Lepisosteus oculatus: one gene and its partners. The protein of the gene in region 2 purifies or fractionates together with the protein of the main gene of each other region. This does not show direct contact. Links are inferred from orthologs where the notes say so. Each region holds a gene or a part of one and is shown on either strand. Other genes may lie near its edges.

Region 1 (7,663 bases), on a different chromosome or scaffold from region 2:
CTCCTCTGCTCTGGACAGTCCTGTGTGAATCATACTTTGCCTCGGAAAATTAGCAACGACCACAGAAAGGTACTAACACTATTATAATTAATGATATTGGGCTTCATTTAGCTGTGTGAGCGATGTTGATATACATTATGCATATACCTATAAAGTACTTGTTACATATATCGCACATTAATATAGTGTTTACTGTAAGTACTGTAGAATCTTTATGGCACTGTTTAAAATAATTTTGAAGGATTTCAAAACAACTCTTATAACAACTTTATAGAACAAATATTTCCAAGTCAATTAAATAAACTAAAAGATTTAGGAACATAAATTAAAGATAAAAGTCCAATAATCAGATAAATATTCAGAGAAAATTAAAGAGAAATCCAATACATTTTATAAAACAGATTCAAGCAAAGGCAAATGATTGCATGCTGTGGTACACGTCATAAATCCTGCATGTTTTATTCCCAACAGTAATCTTTAAAACAATAGCAAAACCACAACCGTTCTTCTTATTCCCCTCAAAAACTAACCATTGAGATTTTATACAAGTCTTAATTACACATGGATGTTGCCTCTAAGGCAGATGACATTCCACATGCTAACCAGTAATAAGATGTTTACCATAAGGCCAAAATTAATTTTCAGATAAAGACGCATAATGGCGCCATCTGGTGTTCAGCATCGGCATTAACGCAGTTTGCAACTGTTTCCAACTCGGTACAACGAAACACGAAAAAGCACCTAAGCCCCAAAACTTAATTTTTGATCATCTCTGATCTACCAACTATATACCTTCTGTATGCTTGAAAGTCCTTGTTACAGAAGTGGTCACAGGCAACTCTTTACAGGTCTTTTTCCTGACATACCGAAAGTATATCTAACAACTACAAAGCCTATGAAATATAACTAAGGATGAAAATAATAATACTAATAATTGCTTACTATACCGCTTTTCTGGACATTCCACTCAAAGCGCTTTACAGGTAATGGGGATTCCCCTCCACCACCACCAATGTGCAGAATCCACCTGGATGATGCGGAGGCAGCCATAGTGCGCCAGAACACTCCCCACACATCAGCTATCAATGGGGAGGAGAGCAGAGTAATGAAGCCTATTTATAGATGGGGATTGGTAAGGGCGAATGGGAACTCTGGCCAGGACACCGGGGTTATACCCCTACTCTTTTCAAGAAACACCCTGGGATTTTTAATGACTACAAAGAGTCAAGACCTTGGTTTTACCTCTCATCTGAAGGACAGCACCTTTTTTACAGTATAGTGTCCCCGTCACTACACTGGGGCATTAGGACCCACACAGACTGCAGGGTGAGTGTCCCTACTAGCCCCACTAACACCTCTTCCGAGCAGCAATCTTAGTTTTTCCCAGGAGGTCTCCCATCCAGGTACTAACCAGGTTCACACCTGCTCAGCTTCAGTGGGTTGCCAGTTGTGAGTCACAGGGTGATACGGCTGCTGACAGTATACTACTGACTGAATAAAACACATATCACACAGGATATTTGGAAACCGGAACTAGAGAGCCATAGAAAATATGAAAAAATGTTTCACATATCCTTATGTTTTAATTAACTGTTTTAATTAAGAAATGAATGGATCAATACTTACAAGATGACACGTGCCTTGAGGAGGAATTAGTGCCTATGGATAACAACAAAAACACTCACCACTGGCTGTGTCACATTCAGGTTTAACACCACGTGTCTCTGGGATAGCTGTTGTAATGATTGAATTGATCAATAGGATCCTGAAATGTTTGGCCTGATATTGTGGATACTGTTTATATATAACTGATCTTATACAGAATTAGGGACATCCTTCTTCACCCTATACATTTTAACAAGGAGGCTGATAATAAGTCACTGTCCCAGTAAAATTAAAGTGGACCCCGACTTAGAATTTTCCTTATCAAAAAACTTTTGAGTGGTCAAATCTAAATGTGCATTTTGAGGCTGTAAGCTGGAAGGCATGCAGTACCATCAGCAGTTTGAGCTCATGGTGCCATTGTCACCACAGAGACACCCTAAGCTTTGACTTCCCTCAAAGGCCACATTCCAGAATGTTAAATGAACCTCTTTTAAACCAGCTACTGTTCTGAAGACCCAGGAAAAGTGTTCAATTATCTCAATGGGCTTAGAGATCAGGCTGAATGAAACCCAGTAGGGCCACACCTATCCATCGCTGGGGTTAAAGGCAAGTTCAGAGCTGAGGCTTCTGTACTTAAGTAGTGTCAAATGGAGTTGGATGTACAACAGGGCTTCCAGTATCAGGAACATCCCCAGGGCCCAAGGCCAGGGAAAACAAGAAATTAAATTAAAATATACTGAGGCTGCAGAAAATTAAGAACATTATTTTTCTTCCATGAATGGGCTTCTATTTTTTATCCAAATTAGCTGTCTTCCTACAAACTATTCAGTTTAATTGGATATCTACTAAGAAGGACTAGAGTAACACTTTTTTACAGTACTTAAGTGGTTCGAAAGGTCCCCCTGAGAACAGCACTTACATAACAGTGCTCCGGAGTGCTATTAGTGTTGTTTTTCAGTTCTAAGCATTATAAAAATAGAAATAATTATCTTAATGGTGCAATTTATACAACTGCACTTTTCTTCTTGGTTCTTTTCTCACCAATTGAGCTTCCTTTGTGCTTTGCAAGATTTTTTTTCGTTTACATTCCTGTTTTGTTATTCTCTGTTTTGCAGGTAGAGTCACAGGGAAAAATAAAATACAGAACTTTAATAGCATTGTATCAAACTTTTTCCAACAACAGTCTCTTTTTGACAACAGTGTATTCAACATAAAATATAAAAATCCAGCATCCCGAAGACAGCAAAATGTTTTTTTTTATTTCTGACACTCATATGACCTCCTGTCACTTTATACTCAACACAGACTATATTCAGCCACAGCTAGAGTGCGCAGTGTGTTTCCGTCTGTCTCTACAATGTTCAAATCTTTTTAAATCTGTTTCCCTTGTTTCTTTCCCAAGTTGGCAAAAAGCTACACTCACCAACAGCCACCTGCTAGAATTACATAGCTGTACCGATGCCTGAAAATAAAAAAGTTAGTTCCACTATCAAATTCCTTCTTTTTTTTCACAAAAGCTATCAAAACATTAATCGGGCATCTAGTCTCAGCCACAGGACTGCATGGAAGGTGCTAAAAGAGAAGATAGATTTTATAGAAGCTTATTTTAACGTCCCTTTGCTTTGCTCTTGGGGAATTAATACCAATAATTCATTATTTCTCGCAGGACAGTCGTTCACACAATAACTTTGGCCTCTGCAAGCTGCTTTGGATAAAGGTGGATCTACACGCTGATCCTAAGGAGATGCTGCTTTTCAGTTTCGAGTGAAGAATACAACAAAAGGAACAGAAATACCTTTCGGGCCCCGATACTATCTAGAAAGATACAGTCTCTCAAAGTGCTCCGTCTCAGCTCTTCTATGAGTGTCTCTCGGAACAAGAAAAAAAGGTAAAAAGCAGAATTCATACATTTTCTACACAGCCTGTTGCAGCATATTTAGATTTGCACGAAAGTTTGATTACTTCGTTTTACTTCATTGTAAAGCCTCGTTAATTTTTGGGTTACCATATATATTTTTGGAAAGCGATGACATATTACTTGATTGACTTTTTTACCATCGGTTCGGTTATTAAAAATGAGCGGAAAATATTTGAATTATTCTGTTATTAGGTATCGTAAAGCTAAGGAGCTGGATTTCCTAACATACAAGTGCCCAACTTAGTTAACCTGACCTGCAGCGTTTCTGGTGTAATGCAAAATCAAATGTATAGAAAAGTAAAAGTTCTTTATGTAACTATGGCGATATGAAACCGCTTTTGTCATTATGTATTACATTTTGTTTTTTATACTTAAAACATAATTCATCTGACAATTTTAAGATTTGTCAACATGCTGTTCTTAAACCCACAGCAACGCAAATGAAAACACGTAGAAAAACTAAGGTCAATTTCAACAGTACCTTGTTTACCAATAGTTTGCATGTATAAATCCATCTAAAAAGGTGCCACATGTTTTTGGACAGTGATTGTGCACGGGGTTATGTGATGAATTATGTAACTACTGCAGCACAGAACCAACAATAAATATTTCAGTCCTGCCATGACACCACACAAGACTTCAGCCTTTCTCCATAACGCATAATCCACGCGCACGTGTCCTCCCTCTTTCTTACTAAAACTTCCACATCCTGAAAGAGAGCTCTACTTTGTCTTCATCTGCTTTGGCGGAGGAACACAATAGCGGTACAGCAACACAAATGTTTTGAGACGATTCAGCTAACGCACCAGCCTCCTAATCCCCACCCCTCCTCTGAGCCAAATCTATTATGAAGTCATTTGATTGACAGTAGAATTCCCAATTGAATCTCTGGATGTAATCTAGACGCTCTATTGACAGAGCGTTTCGGCGAATAAAAATATATATGGGGTGTACGTAACTATTAGTTCCTGCTTGCGCATGACGATGTATGGTTGACACTTCCTTTAACCAATCGCGAGCATGATGTATTCTGAGCTACGCTCTTCGATCTACACTACCACCCAATAGGAGGTTAAAAGGCGGGTTTAATCTCGGGAAGCTGTCGCGTAGCTAACCGTGGGGATAGATAGGTTGTTGAGTGCGAGGCCGTTCGTCTGTGAGTGTGTCGGGGCGACTGGGGGAGAAGGGGGAAAAAACTCGCTGGAAAAAATAATTTATAGATCTGTAAAAAAAAATATTTAAAGCAAACGTTATTTTAATTAATCGTTTGAGCCTCTAGTCCCCTTTCGCATGATACTGCTTGAAAGGAAGTAAGAGTATTTTGCTTGAGATAAAGAAGGGCGGGTTGGAAACATGTTTTAAAATCCTGTTTATTTTTCTGTCACCTAAAGTAACCCTAAATATTCCCCGGGATTTTAATTCGCTGGCTAGCCTGAAAACGGAAAAAAACCCCGCTGACAGCCTGCCGAATATGAACTGAGATTCCTGCCAGGGATATAGCCTTATCTGGTTGTTTTGTGGATAAACATCGGCGACGATCCTGGGTTTTATTGTTTCATTGTAGCTCAGTTAGTGGCTGCGGGGTCGCTGGGCTGCATCGGACAGCCCGTGCAAGATCAAGATTTTCGTCAGCGGCTTCAGCACTTCAGCAAAGTGGAACCTGAGCGTTGATCAGCAACACTGTACTTAAAATCTTTCGAGGTGAGTTTTTTTCAGTGTGTGTGTGTGTGTTTTCTCCTAGCAGTCCATGGATTGTTAGTGCAGCGATGTTAGCTGATGTACTTTAGCGACGGCCTGGCCTGTGTTGCATGCTCGATGTGATACTTTTTCGATCTGTTTCGCTTCACTTGAGATGTAACTGTAGTTGGGGCTTTTTTGTTTCTTGGAAATCCGCCCAGAGACCGGTTCTCTTATTTTTTTCCAAGGTATTTTTGGTTTTCGAAGTCCATGCTCGGGGCTTTGGCTTTGTGAATATGTGACGATGGGTGTTACGTAACGGCAATTGTTGCTGAAAAATTGTGTGGGGGAGAGAGATGGGCAAAAACTTTTCACGTATTTTGATTCCCTGGAGCTGTCTTCGTATTTCTGTATCTGGTAAGGAGCCCTAGGGTACTTTAGTGTCCATAAGCGAGGGCAATCAGTTTTTGCAAGTTTGTTCATTTAATCGATCAGATGGAGTATCTTAATTTTAAAACATTTAGATCACAAAATCCTGATCTAATGATCATGAAGTGATTTCAGTCTTTTAGTTTGGATGACTTGTCATCTTTACTTGTGAGGTAAAAAGGGCTATATTAAGTTCAACGAGATTCCTCAGGTGTCGATTAGGACTAGCTTCCAGTACCGGAAAATGGTACAGAAACATTTTGTAGGGCGTGAATGTGAGGATTTCTTTGTTCATAACTCGCGAATTCTGTTTTTTTTTTCGAGTGCATTTAATTTTAGGCTTTGTAATTTGGTAACTTCGAATATGTAACACATATAATCGAATATGTAATGCCCATGTTTGCAAGCCCTAGGTGAAAACGATTGCGCACGTCTTTTGTACACAGGCTTGGGGTTGTCACTTACCTCTCAAAAGTTTAAATAAAGCTGTAGAGGCTGGCTGAGATATTTTATCAACGTTTCTTAAAATACATTTCTTTTTAAATTCTTTCTCGATGGCTTCTGTTTGGAAAATAGTTTGATTAGCTTCGCCCACATTAAATTAGTGGGGTATCTTGTTTTTAACACTTAACAGTGCGACGCCTTTTGGGTTTGGTTGAAGGTTTCACGTCTTGTAAAATTTAAAATAATATGTTTATGCTACAATTCCTATGATGCGCTTGCTTCTTCACCATATTTTTACGTTTATTACTCATTGTCTTCCTTTGCAGCCGCCGCAGAAATCGATTCTTATAAGTGCTGCCTGAAATCGTTTTTGTGACAAGATTTTCGGCTTTAAATAACAGTCTCTTAACGTACTGGATTATTCTTGCTCTCTCTTGAAGTCTTTTTGCTTTCTACTTTAACTCCACACGTCAGAAGAAAAAAACACTGCAATGCAAAGTGTCAACTTCAGTCTGTGTTTGAAATAACCATAGTGAAAGTTAAAGGCACGTTTATTACCATTTCTGTATACACTACCGCATGTGCAAAGAGGTGGAAATCCCATTATAATGCTGGAAAACATTTTGATGCATATTTTTTAAACGATTAAAAAATTCTCAATTTGGATTTTTTTGTGGTGGTGGGGGTGGTTGTCATCTGTCCCTGATAAAGTGTTGCCCGTTAATTTATGAGTTCAGATAGTTGGTTTTCCTAAAATTGGTGTCTAGTATTGTAAATCCTTCTGTAATGATTTGTGTGGATTTGAAGTGAAGTGACTGTTCCCAGTCCAGCACTTCCAGGGGTCTCTTTAGAAACTGCTGAACTGGAAGTGATTGTTTTGCTGAACGGAAAAATTTTGATATCGCCATAATCATCAATATTTGTTGCCTTCAAACTCTTAATAGTAATTAAAGGTGGGTTCTAGAAATTGATGCCCATTAGCAAGTGTTGCAGCAGCTGTTTAATTAATGTGCTTGAGTCTCTCACATCTTTGGTTGAGGTGTGCTCACTTTTAAGTTGTCATGTTCCATGATTGTTGCTGGAAAGGATCCATGATGATGTCTGCACGACATCAAATCTTGTCTTTCGTACAATATTTCTTTCTGCTGACTGCTAAGTACTTAACTGTTCATAACGGCTAGGATGTTGTGGTTTACATCATGCTCTAGTACAGTATGTATGGTAAAAACGTCTGGGGATCGTTTACACAAGGGGGGAATGAGTTGAATATGAAAAAGAGTGCTTTTGTGAACACCGACAACATAGCCTTTTTATTAATGATTAGGCCTACCTGTTATATAGTCAGCATAACAAACTCTAAACAATTTGAGTCTTTCTGTTTGCAGTTTCTAACAGTGTAAGTTTACAAGGCATGTATTAGACAGTTTCTTTATAATAAGTGCATGAAGCATTCGCTTAATGTTGGCTTGAGTGTACTTATTTCTGCATTTATACTTTTTTCAACCTCTCAAATCGGCCAAGTAAAAAAAAACCAAACCTTTTCTGTTGCAGGCCTTCATCCTGAAAATGCCTGTGTTTTATTAATAAGGA
Region 2 (7,798 bases):
AGCAAGACCAGGCTTCCTAATTTGTGTGTCCGTCTTCTCTATTTTGTGTTCAGTTTCACAAACAGACCTTTTCATCTCCAAAACCATTTTTAACAGTGTTTGCTTTGGTGCCTGTTAAATGAGGATTTTAAAACTGTACACAAACACGTCACCCTTCAGCTAAATAAGACATCACTCAGCTGTATAATATCCCAATGCCTTATGTGGATATATATTTGAATAAAGTTTTTTTACAGTGTGCATACATCGTAGCTTAAGTGTTTGACTACAGGGGGATAAATGAAAATTAGCCATACAATGTTCTATTTCATTATATACAAGTAGCGTTTGCACAGCACACTACAAATTGCTTCATTTGAATGTCCATTCTTATTTGAACATTCAAATTAAAAATGAAAAATAAGCATCCTTTTCAGTTGAGTATTTATCACAGGATAAGCAATGGTTAAAGATTTACCTAAACCAGCAACAGGTTTAGGAGTCACAGAATTACCGATCATTCTTATCGTCAAAGTAGTGACATGCAATAGTAAAACATATATAAATTATGAAACTGTAACCTAATAACCTTTTTTAAAAAGGGGCATTCATATATCTTAGTGTTTAGTCCTTCAACAATCATAGCTGCAGTCAGATAAATTCCACAACTGAACAATACTACGATTAAGTACACTCAATATTAAGTGCAATGCATAACATATCTTAACCATTAATGAAGAATACATTAGAAGAAGACCTTGAATAACATCTTTCAAGGTTTTAAAGCCATTTAATAGCCTCAGGAAACATAACTCTCTAGTATATATCACTAGTTTAAGCAAACTGGAAGCAAATATATTCAAGAATTACCTTTGAATTTATGGCACTTAATGACTAATGTACTTTAGTGGTCTTAAAACAAACTCTCTGACATCCAAATGTGACAGCCCGGATTCTGACACCATCACCATCAAGTGGGTCTTGTTAGCAATAGGTACCAGTCCATGCACTACTATAAGCAACCATTACAAGATCGGCATTCAAAAATAAATATAAAGGAATGTGTAGCAAGAGAAATCTCCACCACAGCCCCTTCCTAGTTCATGCTGATCTCAATCATTTACTACAACACCACAACCAGACTGTACCTAGTGCTAACATCCACTTTCTTCCAAATAAAAGAGGATATTTAAACCTTAAACCAGCCTCAGTGTTACCATAGTCAGTTGTTAACATAAGTTACAAATGACAATAAAAACAACAGTTTACCTTTAGACTTGTCCGTAGTTGTTTACTTCAAACTACACGGTATGAGGTGTTACATTCCGTGTAAAATACACAACAAGTCCAATATTTGTTTCCGTCACAGGAAACCTACAAGGTAACAGGAGCAACCCGGCTCACCCATGAGAGATGTTCGAAGGTGGCAAATCAATGAACTACCTGAATTAGGTCTCCCTTAAGAAACATTCATGTTTACCTCTGATGAGCACTTTTAGTTCCGGACCATCCTATATTCCAAACCACATGGGTAGAACACAATTCGGCAAGAAGTCGTCAGATACATTGAAACTTTCAGATTTAGGACCACTAAAACGGTAGACCATGTGCCAACTTCAGCTGCCGATTTCTGGGGTTTTTTGCGATTGCCCGACGACGCGGTGTTTATTTCCAGCAATGTTTCAGGTCTACAATTTGGGCTCATGCTTGTGGCTGAACAGACCTTAACATCCAGCCTGGCTACCAATACCCAGCAGGAGGACTTCAGTCCGTGAGGGACGGTCTGAGATCAGACTCGGTCGTGCGGTCCCCCCCAGTGGGTTAGCAGGCGTGCTTGCTTGACCACGGCAGGGAAGCTCAGCCCGAAAGCATGAAGGCGGAACCTCCACGGCCAGCGAGCAGCGAGGTGACCATGACGGACAGACGGGCAGCACTTGATGGAAAGATCACGGCGCACATGCGCACAAGCAGGGGGAGGCATACATCCGCGGGGAGTCGAATTCGATCACAACAGCTGATGTGCTGAAGGGAGGAAAAAAAAACACTACACGAAAAGGCACTTTCACGTACGCTTCTCGGTCATTCTAAGCACTGTAGGGACACTCTGCTTGCCAACCTGAAGGGGTCCTGCGCCGAAAAACTGTAAGAATACAGATGCAGCACGTTACAGCTCGGCAAGCGGCCAGCAGCGCGATCGGGATCCGTGTGAAAGACCACACGATCGCAACACCAAATCGGCTGCCGCTGGCCAGTCAAGCCCAGATGTTACACATCATGGCTGGCCAACGAGACCTTCGACCCGCCGCTTTGGCTGGGCTTCCCACTCGCTGCTGATAGAAGTGTGTCCTGCCGCTGGGAAACGTTAAAGCTGCCTAGGAACCGTGCAGTCAGCCCCGCACGACGTGGTTTGCCGATACCCGTGCCGAGCTGCCCCCCCTCTTACCTCCAGAAAGCCGATGCCAGAGTGATCCTCGGCTACAAACTCCCCCCCACCTCCCGACTCACCTATGTGGGTGTCCTGGCCGTGCGGGCCCGGCAGCTGCAGGCTGATCTGGCGCTCGGGCTGCGGGATGCAGCGCAGGCAGAAGGAGTGCAGACATGGCAGCAGCTTGGGCTCGCAGTCGCGGCTCTGCAGGCTCTGCTTGCACACCGCACAGGTATCCAGCAGGTTGATCGGAGGTGCCGGAGGCGCTGGTGCCGGGGAAGGGGAGGACACCTCCGACGTGGAGGCCGGGGCGGGCTCCTCGGCGTCCCCGGTGTTCTCGGTGTTGCTGTTGGCTGGGCTGCCGCTGCTCTCTCCCCCAGCGTCCCTGCTCGGAGTCGAGCCTAAGTTGTTATTGTCGGGCTGACCCTCTTCCTCGGCACTCGGGACCGGGTCTATGATGACGAGGGCGTCGGTCTCTTTCGCCGCCGGGTTGCTGCCGTCGTCCTCCCCGGAAGGTTCGGGATTGTTGCTTGCGGGGCTCTCAGTCTCCCCTCCGTCTTTGTTTTCCGCCATCTTGCTTCCTCTTTGAACCGTTTGACGCTTCACGCACCAACAAAACGCCGCAAGGCGGGTGTGGTGACGTAGGAGAGAGCCACCCAGGGTCCTATCGCCAGTAAAGTCTCTCTCATTTATTCGTTACCTGTTGCTTTGGACAGAGTGCAAAACTTTATCGTTAAGTATTAAAATGTGAATGTTGGATCTAAGGAGTTTTGGTATGATGTTATACTTTGCAACATATCATATAGAAGAAATGTTTAGATATAGGTATAGTTAATGTTAGTAATATGGGATAGATACCACATTCACGAAACAAAAAATGTATTAATTCCTTGTGTCCAATTTTTAATAGAAGCGTATTCTTTGTGATTTTTTTCTTCACTTATACCTTTGTATATCGGTTCTCCTTTGGTTGTATTAGTTAATGTTCAATAAAAGTATTAAAACAATCAATCTACCCCAGTGGAGTATATGGGGAGCAAGATGATAAATATGTTTCTGTGAGTGTCTGCAGGTTTACTTGCTCTTTAAAGCAGCACCTTAACAGTTGAGAGAAGCTGTAAATTCGGCCCAGTTAAAATAGTGACCTGGGCAGATCAAGGACTAGGATTGGACACCCCTGATTTAGTGGTTTACTGTTGATCTTGAAGTCCATTAGGTTGGTTTTAGGATTTTGTATGTTGGGTATTTTGAGTTCTTAAATCTGGTAACCTCGTAATTGTCTATGTGCAGAAGTAACATTTAAAAAAACGAAAAAAATCAAGAAAAAATATCAGGCATTTTTTAAGGGGAATTCAAATAATGGTGTCTTACATACAGTATACTAAAAAAATAAATATTAAAATACGAGCACGTTCATCAGAGTTCAGATTTAATAATTATTTGCGATTTCATTCCGAAAGATCAGCTCAATGGACAGTTGGTCATGCTTCATTCGCAAATTTGAAAAGCGTTCCATATTTCTAGAAAAGCACATTTTATATACACACTGAAATTAAGTCCCGGATCTGGGCGTCAGCTGAACAATTATTGGCATTATCCACTGAAATGGTGCTCCACCCGGGTGACGCACGGTAGCTATATTACACGGCTGCAGTCCCCACTTACAAACGAGATCAGATGGAGAAGTGAGATGTTATTCACCAGTTGAATCAAGGGGAAATCTAGAGAGACCAGATAGTAGCAGCCCAGAGTGGAATTTACCCAGGGCACGGGGGTTTATACACATGCTCTTTCGAGCACTACCCTGGGATCTTTAATAACAAAATATTCAGGATCTCAATATGACGTCTCATCCAAAGGACAGGACAGCACCTGCTACAGAACAGTTCCAGATCACTATACAGGGACAGCGGTTTGGAAATCCCGATCCTAGTCCTGCGTACCGTATTAACACGCACTGCGTAACCTTTAAAATCAAGCCAGTCAGGCTCACACTGTACGCGTGATGTGCGCAAAAACTCAGCAGTGACTTCTATAGGCCTACTGATCATGCGAACAACTGTCATAACATGACTCCCATATTACTAACAAATTAGTCATGTTTTTCTAGATATTTCCATATTAAAGTAGAGTAATCCCCTACGAGACTTTTCTAAACTTTTTTTTCCAATTTCAGAATTCATTGTTAATTTCCCACTAAAACCCACTATCTTTTTAATCAATATCCGTGTAGCTTTCATGTTACTTATTATTGTCCTACAGATTGGCAGATTTTAAACCTATAAGAGATCAGATAAGATCCCTTTATTAGCCATATACAATTTCTTGCATTAGGAATTTGTCTTTTCGCATACCCCAGCTTGCTCTCCATGAGACACACAGGCACACAGATGGGGAGTGAAGCTTGGGGTCAGAGTGCAGGGTCAACCATTTACACGGTGCCCCTGGAGCAGCTGGGGTTAAGGGCCTTGCTCACGGCTCAGGCCTTGCTAACCTATTTAAGGTAGTTTGTTTAATTTCCTTGCTACAACAAATGCTTCGGTGATAAGCATTCGCTCTTCTGAATTGGGGTACCTGTTTCCAAAAGTCCTTGCAATTTTAAGCCGTTTCTTCTCACAAACATCGTATAACAAAAAATGAAATAAATCTGCTTTGTCTCTTTTTTCTTACCCATAATGACTGTATTCCTGCACACATCTTTAGTTGTGATCTTAGAGGGCTGTGTGACGACGACATAGAGTTCTGACTAACCGTTTGTGCAGAAACTGCATACCTGTATGCAGCTTTCTAAAAGTCTAAAGGACACCCGAAGAAGGCTCCACAGACTAAACATGGTCTCTTTTGCTTCCTAAAAGTCACGGAGACCCCAAATTCAATAGGTGCCACCATGATGAAGTTGCCTTCTATGCCGATAATAGGCACTGAACATACAGCGCACATTCACATCTGTGTGTTAAGAGGCTTTCTGTACCGACAAAAAGTCACAGTACATGGGAGACATGAACAGACAACAAATCAGTTAAAAAAAACATCTACAGTATAAACTCGAAGAAAATAGTGAGGAGCTACTGGCTTCATGCTTTTAAAACAAAGTACTTAACACTGAGAAACAATGTCCCAGGTCTAGAAAAAGGTCCTGAATTAACAGTAGCTGATTTTTTGCCTACATTTTTGTCAGCCAGACCATGCAGCCACATTTAAATGCACTGCATACCCAGCATTGGCTCTGCTTCAGGTAGGAGTAATTTATTGTGTACCAACAGCTTGTTGTACAAGTCTGCACCAAAGTATTTTGATAAATCCCCTAAATTGCTCCTTTAGATCCGGGATTGATAAACATCTGGCAACGTGATTTGATTTATATCTTGCCTTCACACAGTGACCCATAGACCCCTTGGTATCCTTAACCAGCAACATGCAAGACACTAACAAAGGAGAACAGGAATTCTGTTATGAGCGACCATACTGTAGATAATCCCTGGCCTTGGAATTGTAGCCCCTTTTAACCTGCAGTTTCGACAATTTCCAGTTGTAGCATTTAATCAGTTGTTGTTCTCAGGATAAGAAGTGCAATCTGTTGGTTTCTGGGGAATTAAGAAAAGGCCTCCACTCATTTACCACCAGCTCACACCTGTTCCAAATCATTCCAAACTGATGATTTAAGCAAGACCTATAAAGACCTGCTGAAAGGCTAGGGTTACATTCAAGTCAAGTGTCAACAGACCCAAAATGGAATGGAAACCACTAAGGCAAAATCAAAATTAAATGGAAGTGCATTTGTTAGAAAGCACAATTGAACATATAGGGTTGTGGGAGTCTGGAACACATTTCCCACTTACATTATGGAAGGTAATTCTCTGGAATATCTCAAGAAATTACTGGATAAGGTCCATGGATCAAGAAGTTATTATGAACCAAACAGGCGAGACGGGCCCAGTGCTCACCTCTCGTTGATAACCATCCTTATAGCTTTTAACGAAAAGATACAATGCATATTAAATAAATAGAAGATAGAACTTTAAATTTTGACATTTTTATTACAAAGAAATCAACTTCAAAATATGTCTGAGCCAAAAGGTATGAGTATTTAGCTTCAGCGTTGCTTCAGACTCGGAGCTTTATTAGTTAACAAAGAGTTAGTGATATAAACCATCCACTGAAACAAAAAGGATTTGGTCATTTTCAGAACTTGCTACCTATAGTATAAAAAGTGAGAATTCATTTTTCAAACCAAAAACATCATTAAAAAGGGCTGCTGAAGAAGTGAGATTTAAAGGTCTTGTGCAATCATGAGTCAATAAAGTCCACTTCCTATTAGCTTCCAAAGGCTGGCAGGAAAGAAAGGCAACACTCCTGTCTCTGCTCAAGAGAACACAAGCAGTGAACACCAGCAACCCCCCTGTTCAAGTGGCAAACCTGCAGGGTGCAGAGAAAAGACAGTACATAGCCACTTATCTTACAGAGGTGCAGACTATTAAAACATTCAGCTGCTGATTAAACCCATGACACTATTTCAAATTGATTATTGAGTAAATTCACTGAGTAAAAGGTATTACTAAGAAGAGGGCAGTTTGTCAAACATTATACTTAATAAATAGCCGACCTCCTTTGACATCTGGGGTGCAACTACATAGAAAAGCAACTGCCCAAGATAAAGTCCTGTCCAAAGGAGATAATCTTGAAGTGCTGACGCCTTCAGACCATATACTAAAACAAGGTAAGGAGCTCCATGGGGAAAGTGAGAGCACTGTCCAGCTGCTGGAATTCCAGTTTGATTGCTTTGGGATTGCTGTGCACAGTGCTGGCTCCATGACTCAGAAGTCCTGCCGGATGTTCTCCTTGTTCTCCTCTCCCTGCTGCTGCTTCAGCACGTACACCTCGTTCTCCAGTTGGACGATGGCACGCTCAATCTCGTAGTTCTTGCTGACCAGCGACACCCAGCTAAAAAGAGCAAAGGTCCAGATCAGTAAACACGCCTATTCAATATAGTTTGGTTTAATCGGTCTACGTTTTCTTGAATTCAAAGGTTAAGGTTGTTTAAGGCTCCAAAAAAGTAATACTTTTTTTCTGCTTCTGTAAAAATATCCGGCGGCTTTAAGCACTTTGCTGTGTCAGTGACTATGAGGACATTAGCATGGGTACTGACTTGGACTCCAGCTCCCGCAGTTTTGCGCCTCCCGTCAGCTGCTCGTTCTTCCTCTGCCAGTTCAGATCCTGAATCTGCTTCCTGAGATGGGGAGGAAAAATGCAAAATTACATTCAACACAAATCAACACTGCTGAACGATGTTCCCTTTTTGATGGGATGGCACGTAAGAGCAACAAAGTTAGGCTTTTACACTTTGACTTAGACAAGCACCAGATTTCTTAAAACACAATGTAGAAATCACTCTAC
Region 3 (7,970 bases), on a different chromosome or scaffold from region 2:
GAACATCAGCTGGCACTCGGCGCACTGGATGCACGGCGCGTCGGGCTGAGTGTAGAACCGCGGCACAAACAGGCCCCGGCACTTCCCCAGGCACTCGTGCTCCACCGCGAAGCTGCCCTCGCCCTCCTCCGGCAGGGCCTTGCCCCCCAGCTTGCAGGAGCCCTGCAGGGGCGCGCCGGGGCGCAACAGGGCGTTGCACAGTCTCTGGGCGTCCGTCAGCGTGATCAGGCCGCAGGAGGGCGCGTTGAAAGGCAGGATGCCCAGCACCTTCAGGATGTGCAGCTGGTCGGCGTTGCAGCGGGAGCAGTAGATGTACAGCTCGTCGCAGACCAGGTTGATCTGCTGGAGGGAGAAGTCCCGCAGGACGGAATTGAGCACCTGCGGGAGACACAGCCTCTTCTCGCCGCCCACCACGAAGCAAGAGATGGACTCGCCCTCCAGCAGAGAGTGAGTGAGCTCGGTGGAACTGTCACAGGGGATCAGGAGCGGGCCAGGCAACGCTGGCGGAGAAGGAAGGGGGACAAAGACACTGGGCGACTCCTGGGGGTTGCGTGCAGAAAACGCAGCTGGCCCACCCAGGGAGCTCTGGCTGCTGAGGTGGAACTGGGCCAGCGTGTGCTTGAGGCCCGGACTGAGGTCCAGGGCCTTTGATGGTGGAACGGGCAGCTGCCTGCCCTGTCTCTCCCTCTCGCAGACAGCTGCTTCCCCGGGGTCCTCCGTGTGTTCCTGCTTGACTTTTGGCATTCTGGGGACTCCTTCCAGAGTCCGGCGTTTCAGATGTATTTCTGCCACCACCCTCTTTTTAATAGGGGCGTCTTCCAGTCTCTCTCTGCACAGCCGCTTCATGCTTCCTTTGAGTAAGGCCACGTCTTTTAAAGTGTGTTTCAAAGTGGTCGGCGTGCCAGCCATGCCTTTCCTTTGAGTTTTTGTTGTTATTGTTGGCGTGTGTCTTTATTTTTTGTTCCTGAAAGGATGTGCTCCTTAACATTCACGGCAATCGTAGATTATCATCTTTCCTTTTACATACATGTTTGTGATGGACTGCACACTTGTATACTAATCCTAAAAAAAACAACCAAGAAGAACAGTCATCTTAATCCTTTTAGGCATAATACAAAATGTTACACCAGACATTCTTTTCAGCCTGTGTCTTACATGTTGGTATAAATCTTATTTCAAGCTCTTCTCCATATTAAAAGAACAACCAGGTATATTTGCACTTATTAGGAAAAATGCAGTCTTTTACAGACTGGTGCGTACAGAACCACAGTTTCTAATGAGACGTGACAGGGTCCAATATGTATGGAATTACAAAACATACAATAATAAAATAAGTTTCTTAAATTAGACAGTGGCGTTTAAATGCTCAAAGTAACAGAAGGGGGAGTGTTATACAGATCATATGATACAGGTAAAGAAAAAATAAATAGATACAAATTATGACCCAACTAAAAATTCTCTCAAAGGTAAAGGATGAAGATGTCTAACTTACACAAGCCTTGAATTCCAGTATCGTCTCAGTTCCGCTTAGATCCAGTCAGGTTCAACTGAAGCACCGCCGACAGCATTGACCTTCTCCGATATGCACCAGATGGTTCGGATGTAGAGCAAAGTATAAAGCTGCAATCGAGGTAAAAAAAAACAAACATGTATCCACTGTAGCGCAATAACAACGACAGTCCGTGCGGCAGAGTGAATCCCCAATTCAGTCGACCAGAAGCAGGCTACCCCTCGAGTCCCGGCCGATGTTTCAGCGTGAGCTAGTCGCGGTGATGCCGCGTCCACAAGGGCTGGCTGATGACTAAACGGCACAGTACGCTGGTTCACCCGATATCTTAACGGTTCGTCCCAAATTCGCCCAAACGCCGCTTTCTCCTCCTAGCGGATAGTCACCGCTCCGCCCGGTCCCCCTGTCCGCTCTGCAGTGTGCTCGGACACCGATGGTTTTCAAGCGCAGCGCTCAGCGTTGTTGTGGCGGCTGCTGTATCTTGACATTTCGTTACTCTGCTCCGGGTGCACCCCCCCCCCCCCCTCCCTCCTTTCCTAGCAAGGACAGCGTACACACGACTCTCACTCACTCGCTTTTCTCCCCACCTACCTCTCTTTCCTTTATTTCCTCCACTATGTTGTGCCACCGGCTCGCCTGTGTAGTGTTCATGACATTCACTGTATCGTACACCTTTCACGGGACTCTCTTCCTGCCTCTCACCCCCACCCCCCACACACACGCTACCGCACAGCCAAACCCTTGGTGCCCCCGTCCTAAACCGAGTATATCCCCGAACAGAGGAAGGGCAATCCTTGAATAATCAGAATTGCACTCGTCGACCAGAAAACGCGTTTTAGAAATAATACTTAGCTAACAGATACCCCGATACAGAGGGGAAATACCTTACTGTGCTTCAGTTGCTACTTTTATTTCGTGTTTTTTTAAACGCAATATTTTTTTTTTTTTGGTGTGTGTGTGTGGCTAAGAACAGCAACCCAAAACAAATTAACAGCGTCAGCGAAGCGACCTCCCTTGATAGCATGCGTGCAATAAAACTGTATCGCCCCAGTGCAAACTGGTCAATTCACTCGCTAGCTACACACCTTCAGCTCCCATACCTTGCCATCAGTACAGTACAGCATGCTGTTTACAGGGTAAACGTGCGATTTTCTTTTCGTGGAGGGGAGTGGTACAGAGGCCCGGTGACAGTGACTAATTACCGTGTGTAAATCCTGGTCGCCCGCGTGTAACCTTCTTTTTTGTGTGTGAAAAAAATCCACCTCTCTCGCCTCTCCTCCCTCCTCTTCTCCGTGTCCCCTCGCTCCGTGCCCGACCGTCAACAAAATGCAAGCAGCCAGACACATCACTACACACAGACTCACCACGTCACTCCACAACCCAACAGGCTACGTCACCCGGCTGCTCGGAGCACACGGGCTTGTCACGGAAAAACGAGACGTGGGTGTCTGTCTCGCAGTCTGGGCTTGTGTTTGTTTCTGCAGTCGGGCACACGGCCCAGCCTGCGATGTCACCACCAGCCGCCTGTAACTCCGTTGACGCCTGAGGCGATGGTGCCGTTTCGGTTGCTACGACAAACGCGTTACTTGAAACGGAAAGAAGAAAATGTTCTCGACAGAAAAGTCTCAGGAAACGCTAACTCCCCTTCTCACACAGACAAATCTCCATTGAAGTCCCGTTTCTTTGATTTTTTTCTTTCTTTTTCGTATTTTATTTCCTTTGTCTCAATTATATGAATATCTGCATTTAATTGTCTTTCAACCCGTACCGATTGTCTCAGTGTAAACTGTTTAATGATGAACTATATATATATATCTTTATGCATAATTTGACTGTAATCGTCCTTCCATACACGGTCAGTTTACCATTGTAGAGCAGGGCGATTAAAATCACTGTAGAAATACGTATTAAATTATTGTCAAGGAGACATTTAAATCTCAAGGTTTATAATGTATATTACGTGATAGTACTATTGTAATAATCAACAATTTCAGTTTATCGGCATATTGATCTAAAATTGTAAACGACAAAAGAGTTCTGTTTTTCTGACATGAAAAAAAATTCTCGGAACAAAACTAAAAGCCTTACTTAAGGCTTACTTAAATCTAAATCTGGTCAAATGTGTGTTTAACTGCAGCCTACTCTGTTCCCACGGAAACTCCAGACACGGAACAGTTCACTGTGGTGACAGATATGTAGTATTCGTGTAACTTTCTGCTTTAGATGTCAAGAGATTGCCTGTTTCCAGGAAATAAAACGGTAAAAAACACTACTCCTCTTGCCATTTCAGGCAAAATATAACGCTTCCAGCTAAAGAGCCGGACACAGCGCATTACATTACGAGAGATGTCTGAAGTGTCTGAAGAATAAAACATGTACAACATATTTCATTACATCAGGTGATAGTTTTATTTTCACTGCTTCTGATGACATCCTTCTTAGAACGGACTTAATACACACTAAGTTACTTTCAATATACATACATATTTACGATATGAACTCCTAGCAGGAAGCATTAGTGCATATTTGCAACGATTTATTATTCATGGACTGTGTCAGATCTCATCTGGTGCCTAGACAATTAAGGGATATTACATTTCCCTCTGTCAAGGTCAGTGCTCAGTGAATTGAGTGTTGTTAGAATATTAACATTATATTATTTACTTTGGCAGATGAAATGGCAAGGCGTTTTTGGTGTGTGCATCGGTGAAGAGTTTAACCGAGAAAAGACCAAAACCAGAGGTTCGTGAATGTTAATGTGAATTTACATATTCCTAGTAATTAGAAAAAAAATAAACAAAAAAGTCAATTCAACGCTGATAATACACCCGTGTCTCATCCACACAATTCTTTTTCAGAATGTGAGCAGGGTCAAATCTAAGGGTGTACTGTATCCACCAACCAGATGTAAAAAATAAATTCCCAGTAGGTGATGGCAATTTTTTGCTTGAGAAAGCTTCTTGTCTTCACCGATGAAAAAACGCAAATGTATAATTTTAATTTATGTCCGACTTCTGTTCTCACGGAACCTTGATACAAATAAGGCTTTGACTGTTCAAGAAAAGGCAGGCAGAAACAACGTTTGAAAGGAAAATGGGAAACTGTGAAGAAGTGTTCAGAACACATAGATATGTAAAAATGTCTAATGAAACATACGTGTTGTGCATTAGCTAAACATAAAAAAAACAGTTGTGTTTGAGAGCTTACTTCATCTCCACTATAAAATCAAAGTTTATTGACAGGATAAAACCCCTTGAGTTGCACCATGTCCTTTTCAAGGGGGCCCTGTTAGAATATACACTGTACATAAAATAGTGGGAGCAACAGTATTATGGACTCGTTACAATTCAGAGATACTGGAAAATGTCTGTTTTACTCACCAGAAATCAACACAGATCTTTTTTTTATTCGAATGAATTGTCTTTTCGAATAGCTAGTACTTACCGTAATTGATCAAGCACGGTTGCAGAATAAATCATTCCACAAGGTTCACGACTGGGTATACAGCGTAATACTTTTGTGGTGCGAAAATAAAATAATTGTTTATGAAATATTAGATTTTTGCCTCAAAGGCCTGGGAACATGCGCACAAAAATTTGTCGCTGTTGTCTGACAAATATTTTATCGTCTGCAAGCGACGATATTGTTTACCATTAACTATTCCTAAGAAAAATGATTCATAATACTTAGCTATTCGCTTCTATGTGACCCTGGCCTCTCCTCTATACAGATCTAGATTTTCAAATTACTCAGTCTGAAAAACTTTAAATCTTTGTGACTCACAACCTTGCTATGGGCAGTGTTACTATGTGCTGTGTGAAGGACAAAATTAAGGAATGTTGAGTTTGCTTCCAGCAATAGTGATTCACGGTTTGGTGGCTTGGGCAGGAGTTTTAAATATAAAACTGACTTAAACAGCATGAATGTTCTGGTTTAAATATTTAAAAACCGTGTCATACAGCGATTTACTTATCAAGACCAACTTACGGGTATGCGACTCCAAAATTCTGTCAAGTGTAAAAACCGCGTCATGGATTTCGTTATACTCAACGGATTTTGGGAATCCCCGTTTTAAATCCTGGCGCCGAAGAACTTCCTGTCTTCTATTTAAAAGGAAATTGTTAATGACAATGTACTATCCCGAAACGTTTGTGTTAAAGGGAAGAAAAAAAATACAAGCAGTTTTCTTTATCAAAATAAATCTTAGTTCAGGCTGGTCACTGCAAATTATTAGTCGGTGATTTTAATTTTATTGCCATTGGCTCCTCCGAGACTCTAATTGCACCCTCAAAAAGTGACTTTTATCAAGTGTCGTATATACATGTTATGGGATAGCAAACATAAATTGTGTATATTTGAAAAGATGGTAATGAAAATTGGTAATGGCAAAGTGGGTTTAAAATAACAAAAACTGGCCTTTTATTTTATTTTTAAATATTTTGTATTCAAATCGTGTTTCTTTCTTACAAGAACAGTTTTCAAGGTAGTAACCTACTGTACTGTCACTTGAAGATGAAGTAGTACGTGTCCATGTAGGAACGTTACAAATAAATTATGAATAATACTGTTGCCAAATCGAGCTTTTATGCAATATAAATGGAAGCAAATAATGGTAACATTTTTAAAAATGACAAAGCTTTAACCACGGATTGAGAATACATAATAAAAAATGTTGGAAACCTTACTGAACTGTAATTAATATGCATAGTAAATCAATGTTTTACCCCATCCATACTCCTTGGCATGCAATGGATTTTCACCAGGAAGACGCGAGTTTGTTTGAATGCTTAATTAATCCTCTAAGGGTACCACCTCCAGATAGACTTCTGCAATTAAAGAGTGAGTGTGTTCAGATCTTCTGCCCTTCAGATCATTAACACAGACCCTCAAGGTTATACAGGTTTTGTGGCTGGTGATTGTTTTGTGAGGAGTCAGAGACATTTGCTAGATGGGTCACAGGAAAGGTCGGTTTTCCATCTGCCCCTCATCACCCAAATGTTCAATGTCTGAATTATACTTTATCCAACCTGTGTTAACTGCTGTGGCTCATTAAAGAGCTCTGCCCATCCAGCCTCTGAGCACCTTTGTCATGAGACTGCTGATAAACATGAAGTGCAGAATTGTGGAAGTAAGGATATTTGTTAATTTGTTATCTGGGGGTAATCTGACATTTTACCTGTGCCGTTCTGGCTCTGCGGCTGGAATGGCCTATGTTACAGGTCCTGAGAATCCATCACCATCTAACTTCATATCTACCGCTACTTTGAATAACAGTAGAAACCCCCAATTTGTCAATTATCTGCCACAGCTCTCCAGGGTATGAGATAGCTCCCTTGAAGTTCTACATTCAGAACTGCCTTTTTTTAAATACAGAATATTGTAGTGGTTCAATTTTGTTCTTAACATAGTGATGTACAGTATATCACACTTATTTCACAAGAACATTGCTATTAGAAATGCAAAGGTATAATGAAAAAGGGCACTGGAAATCACTGTGAGATATACTCATGGGGAAAAAATCAGAACTTGTTATCATGCAGGGAAGGTGACTTGAAAAGTATTTTGTTTCCTCACCTTAATGATTTAGAATTCAGGGCATGTCAATGAGAATGAAAGAGGTATAGTGGTAAAAGATAAAGCCTTGGTACTTAGTCTTATACAGCAGCAACATAAATGTGCAAACTAGACTTTCTTCATTCTTTAACACTATTTTGAATAGATCAAACAGCAAAGATGCCTCCTGCGTTGAATACTTACAATTCACCCCTTAACAAGTGTTTTCAATTTAAAATGGCACAGAGGCCAAAAAAACAAAACAAACTTGATGCTTTTAAGGAAGCAAAAAAAATGTATTTGGCATTGATGATATTGTACAGCACCATTTCCACAGCCTAATTTACAGACATACAAAAACATATTGATGCATTAATTTATTACTCAGATCATCATAAGCCATGGCCATTGCGGTTTTGGTTTCTACGGAGATGCCCACTTTCCCCATTACCTGTCTTTCTACCAGTTTCCTGGAGGACATACAAATATCTGTTATTCATTTTCACTTTGATAAAAAAAAACAGATACATTGCTTTTGTATAATGTACTTTTTCATTTAATTAATATTGTTTAATTACAGCATATCATTGCGGTATTTCACCTTACTCTCCAACTTTGGGTTTCCACATGCTGAAGACTATATTGCTTCAAGTACTCTTTTTTTTTTCCTTTTCTTTATGGTGATCATTAGCTTCTTTTTCACCTCTCTTTCCAAACTACTGAGCGACTGCTGCCTCCTTCCACAAAGACAGGAGACATGCAGCTGCTGGGCCTCAGATTCGGTTTCCTCAGTTCAGAGGAACAGCTCCAGACTGTCGCTTTCCAGCTACGTCTGTATCACTTGCTAAAACAGGACCACGTCCTATAATTTTACTGGTATCAGAAAACAAAGACAGCTGCCAAAAAAAAT
Region 4 (7,250 bases), on a different chromosome or scaffold from region 2:
ATGCTGAGTTCTGAGGAACAGCCTTTTCCAGGCAGTGTCCGGGTGGTGTGAGCACTGTTAGATTATTGAGCTGACAGTGCTCACTGGGATATCCAGGCACTGTGATATTTCTCGTACTCATTGCCTAATCTATCCAATTTTTAATCACTTTATCTCTGATGTCCTTAGAATGCTCTTTAGTCTTCATTTTCATGGCTTTATAGCTTTACTTCAGATTCACTGCCTGACCAATGATCCTGAAACACACTGGGGGTTTTATCCAGTAAATGTGACAGTCACTTCAGTAAGTGTGACAGTGACTAGGCAGGGGCCAATGGTAACACAATTGTATCCTTGTCAGGGCAATTTCATTCACCTGTGTTAATTCAGAGCCATGAGATTAGAAGGGCTGGAATACTTATGCAAGCAGCATATACACACCCGTATACAGTATATATACTGTGCACACTGTACACACAGTCTACTCTATCTATATACTGTGCATGTGCACACTGTACACAAACTCTCATTGTATATATATATACTGTGCACACAGTACACACTACTCTGTATATACTGTGCACAGTACACACACTCTACTCGGTATATATGCTGTTCAGTCTCTACACACTCTCTACTCTGGATATACTGTATACTGAAGGCATTGTGAGTACTGCAGAGCATAACTTGCCAGTGTGCACACAGTGTAATCAGTCCTTTTTCTGTGTCTTCCAGTCTGTGGCACGAGTACCCCCTGTGACCCAGCGCTGTGGAGAAGAGAGCGAAGAGTGAATGTCTTCAGTGTTACACACACCAGCACCTCTATTCCAGAGCCCTGCGCTCCTCTTTTATACTGGATTGTAATCACAGCTTTGACATAGTGATTGTTCAAGAAAGATTAAAATTTTAGATTTTGGAAACTGCATTTCTCATGCCTGGTCTGTCTCAGTGCAGTGTTAATGTCCTGTAGTGTCCAGTCAGTGTATCTGGACTGTATTAACCCCCTCTCTCTCAGTGGAGTGTAAATGTCCTGTGGTGTCCAGTCAGTGTGTCTGTACTGTATTAACCCCTTTCTCTCAGTGCAGTGTTAATGTCCTGTAGTGTCCAGTCAGTGTGTCTGGACTGTATTAACCCCTCTCTCTCAGTGCAGTGTTGATGTCCTGTAGTGTCCAGTCAGTGTGTCTGGACTGTAATAACCCCTCTCTCTCAGTGCAGTGTTAATGTCCTGTAGTGTCCAGTCAGTGTGTCTGTACTGTATTAACCCCTCTCTCTCAGTGCAGTGTTAATGTCCTGTAGTGTCCAGTCAGTGTGTCTGTATTGTATTAACCCCTCTCTCTCAGTGCAGTGTTAATGTACTGTAGTGTCCAGTCAGTGTGTCTGGACTGTATTAACCCCTCTCTCTCAGTGCAGTGTTCATGTACTGTAGTGTCCAGTCAGTGTGTCTGGACTGTATTAACCCCTCTCTCTCAGTGCAGTGTTAATGTCTCTCTCTTGCTCCTTCTCTTATTTTCTGTTCCATTACTCTGTTTTCATCTGTCCCCCCTTCTCTCTCCCTCCTGAAACATGATCTTCTACATCTCTCTGTGTTAAACCTATTCACCTCGAAGGCACTCATTAAACACTTCAGATTGATCTCTTTATCGCTCATAAAAGAAGGAGAATTTAAAATGAAAGAGAGAAGTATTTTAATGTGATGGTAACACCCATCTTCTTTCACAATCGTTCCTTCACACACACACACACACTCCCTTTCCTCTGCATTCAAACACATCAGCCTGACACCTTGTACTCTCAGAAAGCAGAGACGTGTTGGGATTTTCTTTTTTGTTTCCACTTAAAGCTTCACTTTTGAGGAAGAGTTGTGGGAGTGTGGAACAAGCTGCCCAGCCATTTTGTTGAAACTGATACCCTGATGTCTTTCAAGAAACATCTGGATGAAATTCTTGGATCAATTAACTGCCAATTATCAAAGAAGGCGAGATGTGTCAAATGGCCTCCCTTTGTGACTTGTGATGTTTTTCCGAGTATACTTTTACAAAAACAACGTAGTTTTCATGTACTGTAGAGTCCACTCTGTGTGTACTGTATTAACCCCTCTCTCTCAGTGCAGTGTTAATGTCCTGTAGTGTCCAGTCAGTGTGTCTGGACTGTATTAACCCCTCTCTCTCAGTGCCGTGTTAATGTACTGTAGTGTCCAGTCAGTGTGTCTGGACTGTATTAACCCCTCTCTCTCAGTGCAGTGTTAATGTACTGTAGTGTCCAGTGTGTCTGTACTGTATTAACCCCTCTCTCTCTCAGCTGTTTCCGTGATGCTGCTGGTTAAGACCTCATTGCCAGATGGTACAGTTTTGTGCAGGAGGTATACGTTAAGTTTAAGCAGTGTAGGACTGCTTAAAAGCTCTCCTGTTTCGTCCTTAATTGTGAAAGTCTCTGGTCTCTCTCCCCCCTCCCTGGTCTCTCTGTTGGAACAGGACTAATCCTAGATTACCAAAGCAAACAGAGTGTATCTGTCTCACTGTGTTCAGTGCCTCTTCTTTCTCTTCCTATTGTGCCCCAGTCATTCCTGAAGCATTAGCAGTGTTTGCTGGGTGATTACTTTAATACCTCCATGGCACCTCACTCTGACAACTGCTACACCAGACTGCACACATAGTGTGGCCACAGCTAGTGTGTGCATGGTGCAGGAGAGAGATTGTGTGTTTTGTGTGTACAGTATGTGAAAGGGAGTGTGTGTATTGTGTGTACAGGGTCTGAGAGAGAGAGTATGAGTGTGTATTGTGTATGCAGTGTAAGCAATTGTGTGTATATTTCACATGCAGTGTGTGAGGAAGTGCGAGGGAGTGTGTATGTATTGTGTGTCAGCAGGTGTGTGTGTAGTGTGTGTAGTATGTGACAGTGAGTGTATGTAGTGTGTGTAGTCTGTGTGTGTGTAGTCTATTTGTGCAGTGTGTGTGCAGTGTGTAGTGTGCATGTGTAGTGTGTGTGCAGTGTGCATATTGTGTTTGTGTAGTGTGTGTGGTGTGCATGTGTAGTGTTTGTGTAGTGTGGGTGGTGTGCGTTTGTAGTGTGTCTGGTGTGAGTGTAGTTTGTGTAGTGTGTGTGTGGTGTTTGTGTAGTGTGGGTGGTGTGCGTTTAGTTTGTGCAGTGTGCGTGTCGTTTGTGTAGTGTTTGTGTAGTGTGGGTGGTGTGCGTGTAGTTTGTGTTGTGTGTGTGGTGTTTGTGTAATGTGGGTGGTGTGCGTGTAATTTGTGTAGTGTGTGCCAGGAAGCGCGGTGTTTTTACAGAACAGTCCGGACAAACCCGCTGCACTGATCGCTACAGCCCGGCTGCTTTGTTTCCCCACAAGGCTAAAGCTTTCAGTTCACAGACCCCATGAATTATACATTCCTCCATCTTAAATTATATTTGTCTGTATCTTTGAAGTTTTTCAAACACTAGAGTGATTCTGTCCAGAAAAATATTATTGGACGTATTTGCGCCTCCCTGCGACACTGAACCGACAGCGGCTGCTCCGAGCACGAAAACCTCAAGCGCGGTCTATGTCTCCCTCTGCTGTCAGAGTGTGTGTGTATCGTTTATACAGTGTGTGAGAGTTATTGTGTATACAGTTCGTGTGTATTGTATATACAGTGTGAGTGTGTGTGTGGTGTATACTTCATGTGTATTGTGTGTACAGTGTGAGTGTGTGTTGTGTACTCAGTGTGAGAGAGAGTGTGTGTATTGCATATACAGTTTAAGTGTGTGAATTGTGTATACAGTATGAGAGTGTGTGTATTGTGTGTAGAGTGTGAGTGTATTGTGTGTACAGTGTGAAAGTGTGTGTATTGTGAACACAGTGTGAGAGTGTGTGTGCATTGTGTATCTAGTGTGTGTGTATTGTGTATACAGTTTGTATGTATAGAGTGAGAGTGTGTGTATTGTGTCCAGTGTGTGAGTGTGTGGATTGTGCACTCTGTGTAAGCGAGTGTTTGTGTATTTGTACACGTATGAGAGAAGCAGTTTGTAGAGCGTGTTTACTGTGTTGTCTCACTAAGCCCATATAAACTCTCCGAGGCCAAGACAGCGCCTCCACGGTCCCCACGGATTGTGTGCGCTATTACGGTAAAAGAACAACAATAACCATACAAATTTATGCGTTGTAAAGGTCGATAGTTCATATAGATTGTATTGGGTTTGGCTCGCCCTTTTCAAGCGGAGGCAGAGTAAAATACATTGCGCCAGTTCATTGTGTTATACGGCAGGTCGTAAGGAAGCGGAAGTCAACGCTTTGAGTTTCCGGCTCCTCTTCCGGTAGAGGCCCAGGTGGCGGGTTTGACGCGGGAAAGTGTCTTCTGTAACACAAGTAATCACGATTTCCGAAGACATTTTACAACAGGGGCACCGAAAGTTGTAAGTCCAAGAAGACTAAGCGCATGTCCTTTCATTTCTTCGCAATCGAAATTAACAGTTAAGAGACGCAGCTGGGGCACCGCAAAGCAACATTTTAAACCCCTTGTTATTTATGCGCTACGTTGTGTTGACTCGGCGTGGTGACTTACTGAGCGCCGGGAGAGGAGTCGTTGGTTTCGAATCGTGCCGGGCACTCGGAGCAGTACCATACCGCACCTCGTTGTTGATAGAGCCCGTTATTTCGCAGCTACAGACATTTGAAGTCTCAGTTTTTAACCCGTGGAGTGTCGCAGTGGAAAAATGGGAGACACTCTGGAATTTAACGAGATCTACCAAGAGGTGAAAGGATCGTGGGTGAGTTACACTGAGCTCTCTCTTCCTCTGCATCTCGGATTGAGAAATATTCAGTGGTGACGAGGGGCTTATAATTTTGAGAATTTTACTGTTGTTTGTAGTCGTAGGATATACTGTATATTCTCTCTCAGTGCAGTGTTAATGACCTGTAGTGTCCAGTCAGTGTGTCTGGACTTTATTAACCCCTCTCTCTCAGTGCAGTGTTAATGTCCTGTAGTGTCCAGTCAGTGTGTCTGGACTGTATTAACCCCTCTCTCTCAGTGCAGTGTTAATGTCCTGTAGTGTCCAGTCAGTGTGTCTGGACTGTATTAACCCCTCTCTCTTTCAGAATGATGGTCGTCTGCGTCTCAGTAAGCAGGCTGTGGTGTATAAGAACAGTAAGACCGGGAAGGTGGACAATATCCCCGCGAGTGAGCTGACAGAGTGCGTGTGGCGGCGAGTGTGCCTGGGTCACGGGGTGAAGCTGCTGACCAGCACAGGACACATCTACAAATACGATGGCTTTCGGGAAAGTGTGAGTACACTGGCCAGCCCCCTCACACGCCGCCAGAGATCGAGGACAGGGATGTTGTGCCGTATGGATTTCATGAGCAGGGTCTGTCTGGCGGAGTCTGTTAGGAGAGATGTCTTGGCTGCAATAGAATGACAGGGGTTATGCTGAGCGTGTGTCTCTAGTACTCTCTCTCTCTCTCTCTCTCTCTCTCTCTCTCTCTCAGTGTACAGCCCTGTGAGAAGACGCACTGTCAATTCAATTCAAGGTGCTTTATTAGCATGACCGATGGGTACAATCAGTGTTGCCAAAGCAAATGAAAGTAAAACAAAAAATAGAAGTAAAATAAAATCTACAGACATTTACAACAAAGACATATTATAAAATATTGACATATACTTTAGGCGGCTGGAGCATTATTGGGAGACAGACTCACCGTTCCTCAGGCTGTGACAGGAGCCTGGCCATAGAAACTGGGCGACACAGGCAGACCTGGCTGCCCGGAGAGGACAGGCTGTGCTCCCACTGCCAGCGGGGAGAAATGGAGACAGAGGTGCACTTCCTACTGCACTGTGAGGTCACTGTCTCTCTCTCAGTGTACAGCCCTGTGAGAAGACGCACAATTTAGTTCAATTCAAGGTGCTTTATTTGCATGACCAATGAGTACAATCAGTGTTGCCAAAGCAAAACAAATACAATTAACGTAAAACAAAACATCTACAGACGTTTACAATAAAGACACATCATAAAACGTTTACTTATGGACATATGGAGCATTATTGGGCTACAGGTTCACTGTTCCTCAGGCTGTGACAGGAGATCACATACTGGGCTGCCAATTCAACTGAGTTCCCTGCTCCCTCTCCCAGTAGGATTGGGACACTCTCTCATTGTACAGCCCTGTGAGAAGATGCACACATTAGTTTCCTTCCTATCTGTTATCGGGTTTTGCATTAGGATGTACAGTAGATGTTCGTAAACATCAAACATCTAAAGAACACATGTTTATTTGAGAAACAAGACGTCTTAATAGAGCTGCAGTCTTTTCCCAACGGCATCATGTAGCTCTGGAACGTGTGAATGATCTCTTCAGAGAAACAAAAATTGTCGTTCAGCAATCCTGGAGCTATTTGGACCAAGTTCAGTGCAACATACAGTCTAACAAGTTGATGTTGGTGTGCACTTACAAGTGGATGAGACCTCTGAGAGTTTTGTGGTAGATGATTTCTAAGGAAGCCCGATTGCTAGTGTACTGGTGCGGGCAGAGCACCTCCATCTGGATCAGAACGAGTCCGCTGTCCCAGGTTGGGAATTGTGGTCCTTCGTGTCCCCCAGGTGCCTGCCTCTCAGTGGGGTCCTTGTAGGTCTGTGGGCCTGGTGCCCCCCTGAGCTGATGTCATGCCCTCTTATGTCCGCAGGACTTTGAGAAAATATCGGAGTATTTCAAGAACAATTACAGGGTGGAGCTGATGGAGAAGGACCTGTGTGTGAAGGGCTGGAACTGGGGTACAGCCAAGTTTGGAGGTACGCCTTCAGGACAAGTACAGACAGGGTGTCATCACTGTTGTCAATTTCATACCCTTATGCAGGAGGGTTTAAGTATGAAAAAATATATACTCAGTGTGTGAATCTGTATCATACTAACCCTTCTCTCTCAGTGCAGTGTTAATGTCCTGTAGTGTCCATTCAGTGTGTCTGGACTGTATTAACCCCTCTCTCTCAGTGCAGTGTTAATGTACTGGAGTGTTCAGTCAGTGTGTCTGGACTGTATTAACCCCTCTCTCTCAGTGCATCCAGTGTTAATGTACTGGAGTGTTCAGTCAGTGTGTCTGGACTGTATTAACCCCTCTCTCTCAGTGCAGTGTTAATGTACTGGAGTGTCCAGTCAGTGTGTCTGGACTGTATTAACCCCTCTCTCTCAGTGCATCCAGTGTTAATGTACTGTAGTGTCCAGTCAGTGTGTCTGTACTGTATTAACCCCTCTCTCTCTCTCTCAGGTCCTCTGCTGTCATTCGAGGTCAGTGACAGTCCTGCGTTC

What was found.
Region 1: the proteins of trim33 (region 2) and smad2 purify together in Homo sapiens (affinity purification with western blotting; 7 studies listed by BioGRID and IntAct, with this or other methods). This does not show direct contact. The link is inferred for Lepisosteus oculatus from reciprocal best matches to the Homo sapiens genes TRIM33 and SMAD2.
Region 3: the proteins of trim33 (region 2) and skila purify together in Homo sapiens (affinity purification with western blotting; 4 studies listed by BioGRID and IntAct, with this or other methods). This does not show direct contact. The link is inferred for Lepisosteus oculatus from reciprocal best matches to the Homo sapiens genes TRIM33 and SKIL.
Region 4: the proteins of trim33 (region 2) and FACT complex subunit SSRP1 purify together in Homo sapiens (affinity purification with mass spectrometry; 3 studies listed by BioGRID and IntAct, with this or other methods). This does not show direct contact. The link is inferred for Lepisosteus oculatus from reciprocal best matches to the Homo sapiens genes TRIM33 and SSRP1.

The regions. Positions count from the first base shown.
Region 1 is NC_090698.1:17,846,508-17,854,170, reverse strand, and holds the start of smad2 (mothers against decapentaplegic homolog 2), read left to right. Parts: upstream 1-4,660; 5' UTR 4,661-4,679; intron 4,680-4,685; exon of another isoform or gene 4,686-5,087; 5' UTR 5,088-5,224; intron 5,225-7,663. UniProt on the Homo sapiens protein: Receptor-regulated SMAD (R-SMAD) that is an intracellular signal transducer and transcriptional modulator activated by TGF-beta (transforming growth factor) and activin type 1 receptor kinases.
Region 2 is NC_090700.1:32,460,937-32,468,734, reverse strand, and holds the start of trim33 (E3 ubiquitin-protein ligase TRIM33), read right to left. Parts: upstream 3,006-7,798; 5' UTR 2,978-3,005; coding exon 2,485-2,977; intron 1-2,484. Other genes in the region: bcas2 (pre-mRNA-splicing factor SPF27), read right to left, coding at 7,219-7,345, 7,551-7,631. UniProt on the Homo sapiens protein: Acts as an E3 ubiquitin-protein ligase. Promotes SMAD4 ubiquitination, nuclear exclusion and degradation via the ubiquitin proteasome pathway. According to PubMed:16751102, does not promote a decrease in the level of endogenous SMAD4.
Region 3 is NC_090708.1:13,841,518-13,849,487, forward strand, and holds the start of skila (ski-like protein), read right to left. Parts: upstream 3,008-7,970; 5' UTR 2,710-3,007; intron 2,700-2,709; exon of another isoform or gene 2,593-2,699; intron 2,554-2,592; exon of another isoform or gene 2,099-2,553; intron 1,621-2,098; 5' UTR 1,493-1,620; intron 1,063-1,492; 5' UTR 910-1,062; coding exon 1-909. UniProt on the Homo sapiens protein: May have regulatory role in cell division or differentiation in response to extracellular signals.
Region 4 is NC_090701.1:42,561,908-42,569,157, forward strand, and holds the start of FACT complex subunit SSRP1, read left to right. Parts: upstream 1-4,242; 5' UTR 4,243-4,668; coding exon 4,669-4,722; intron 4,723-5,050; coding exon 5,051-5,236; intron 5,237-6,630; coding exon 6,631-6,736; intron 6,737-7,209; coding exon 7,210-7,250. Other genes in the region: pold4 (DNA polymerase delta subunit 4), read left to right, coding at 715-739. UniProt on the Homo sapiens protein: Component of the FACT complex, a general chromatin factor that acts to reorganize nucleosomes. The FACT complex is involved in multiple processes that require DNA as a template such as mRNA elongation, DNA replication and DNA repair.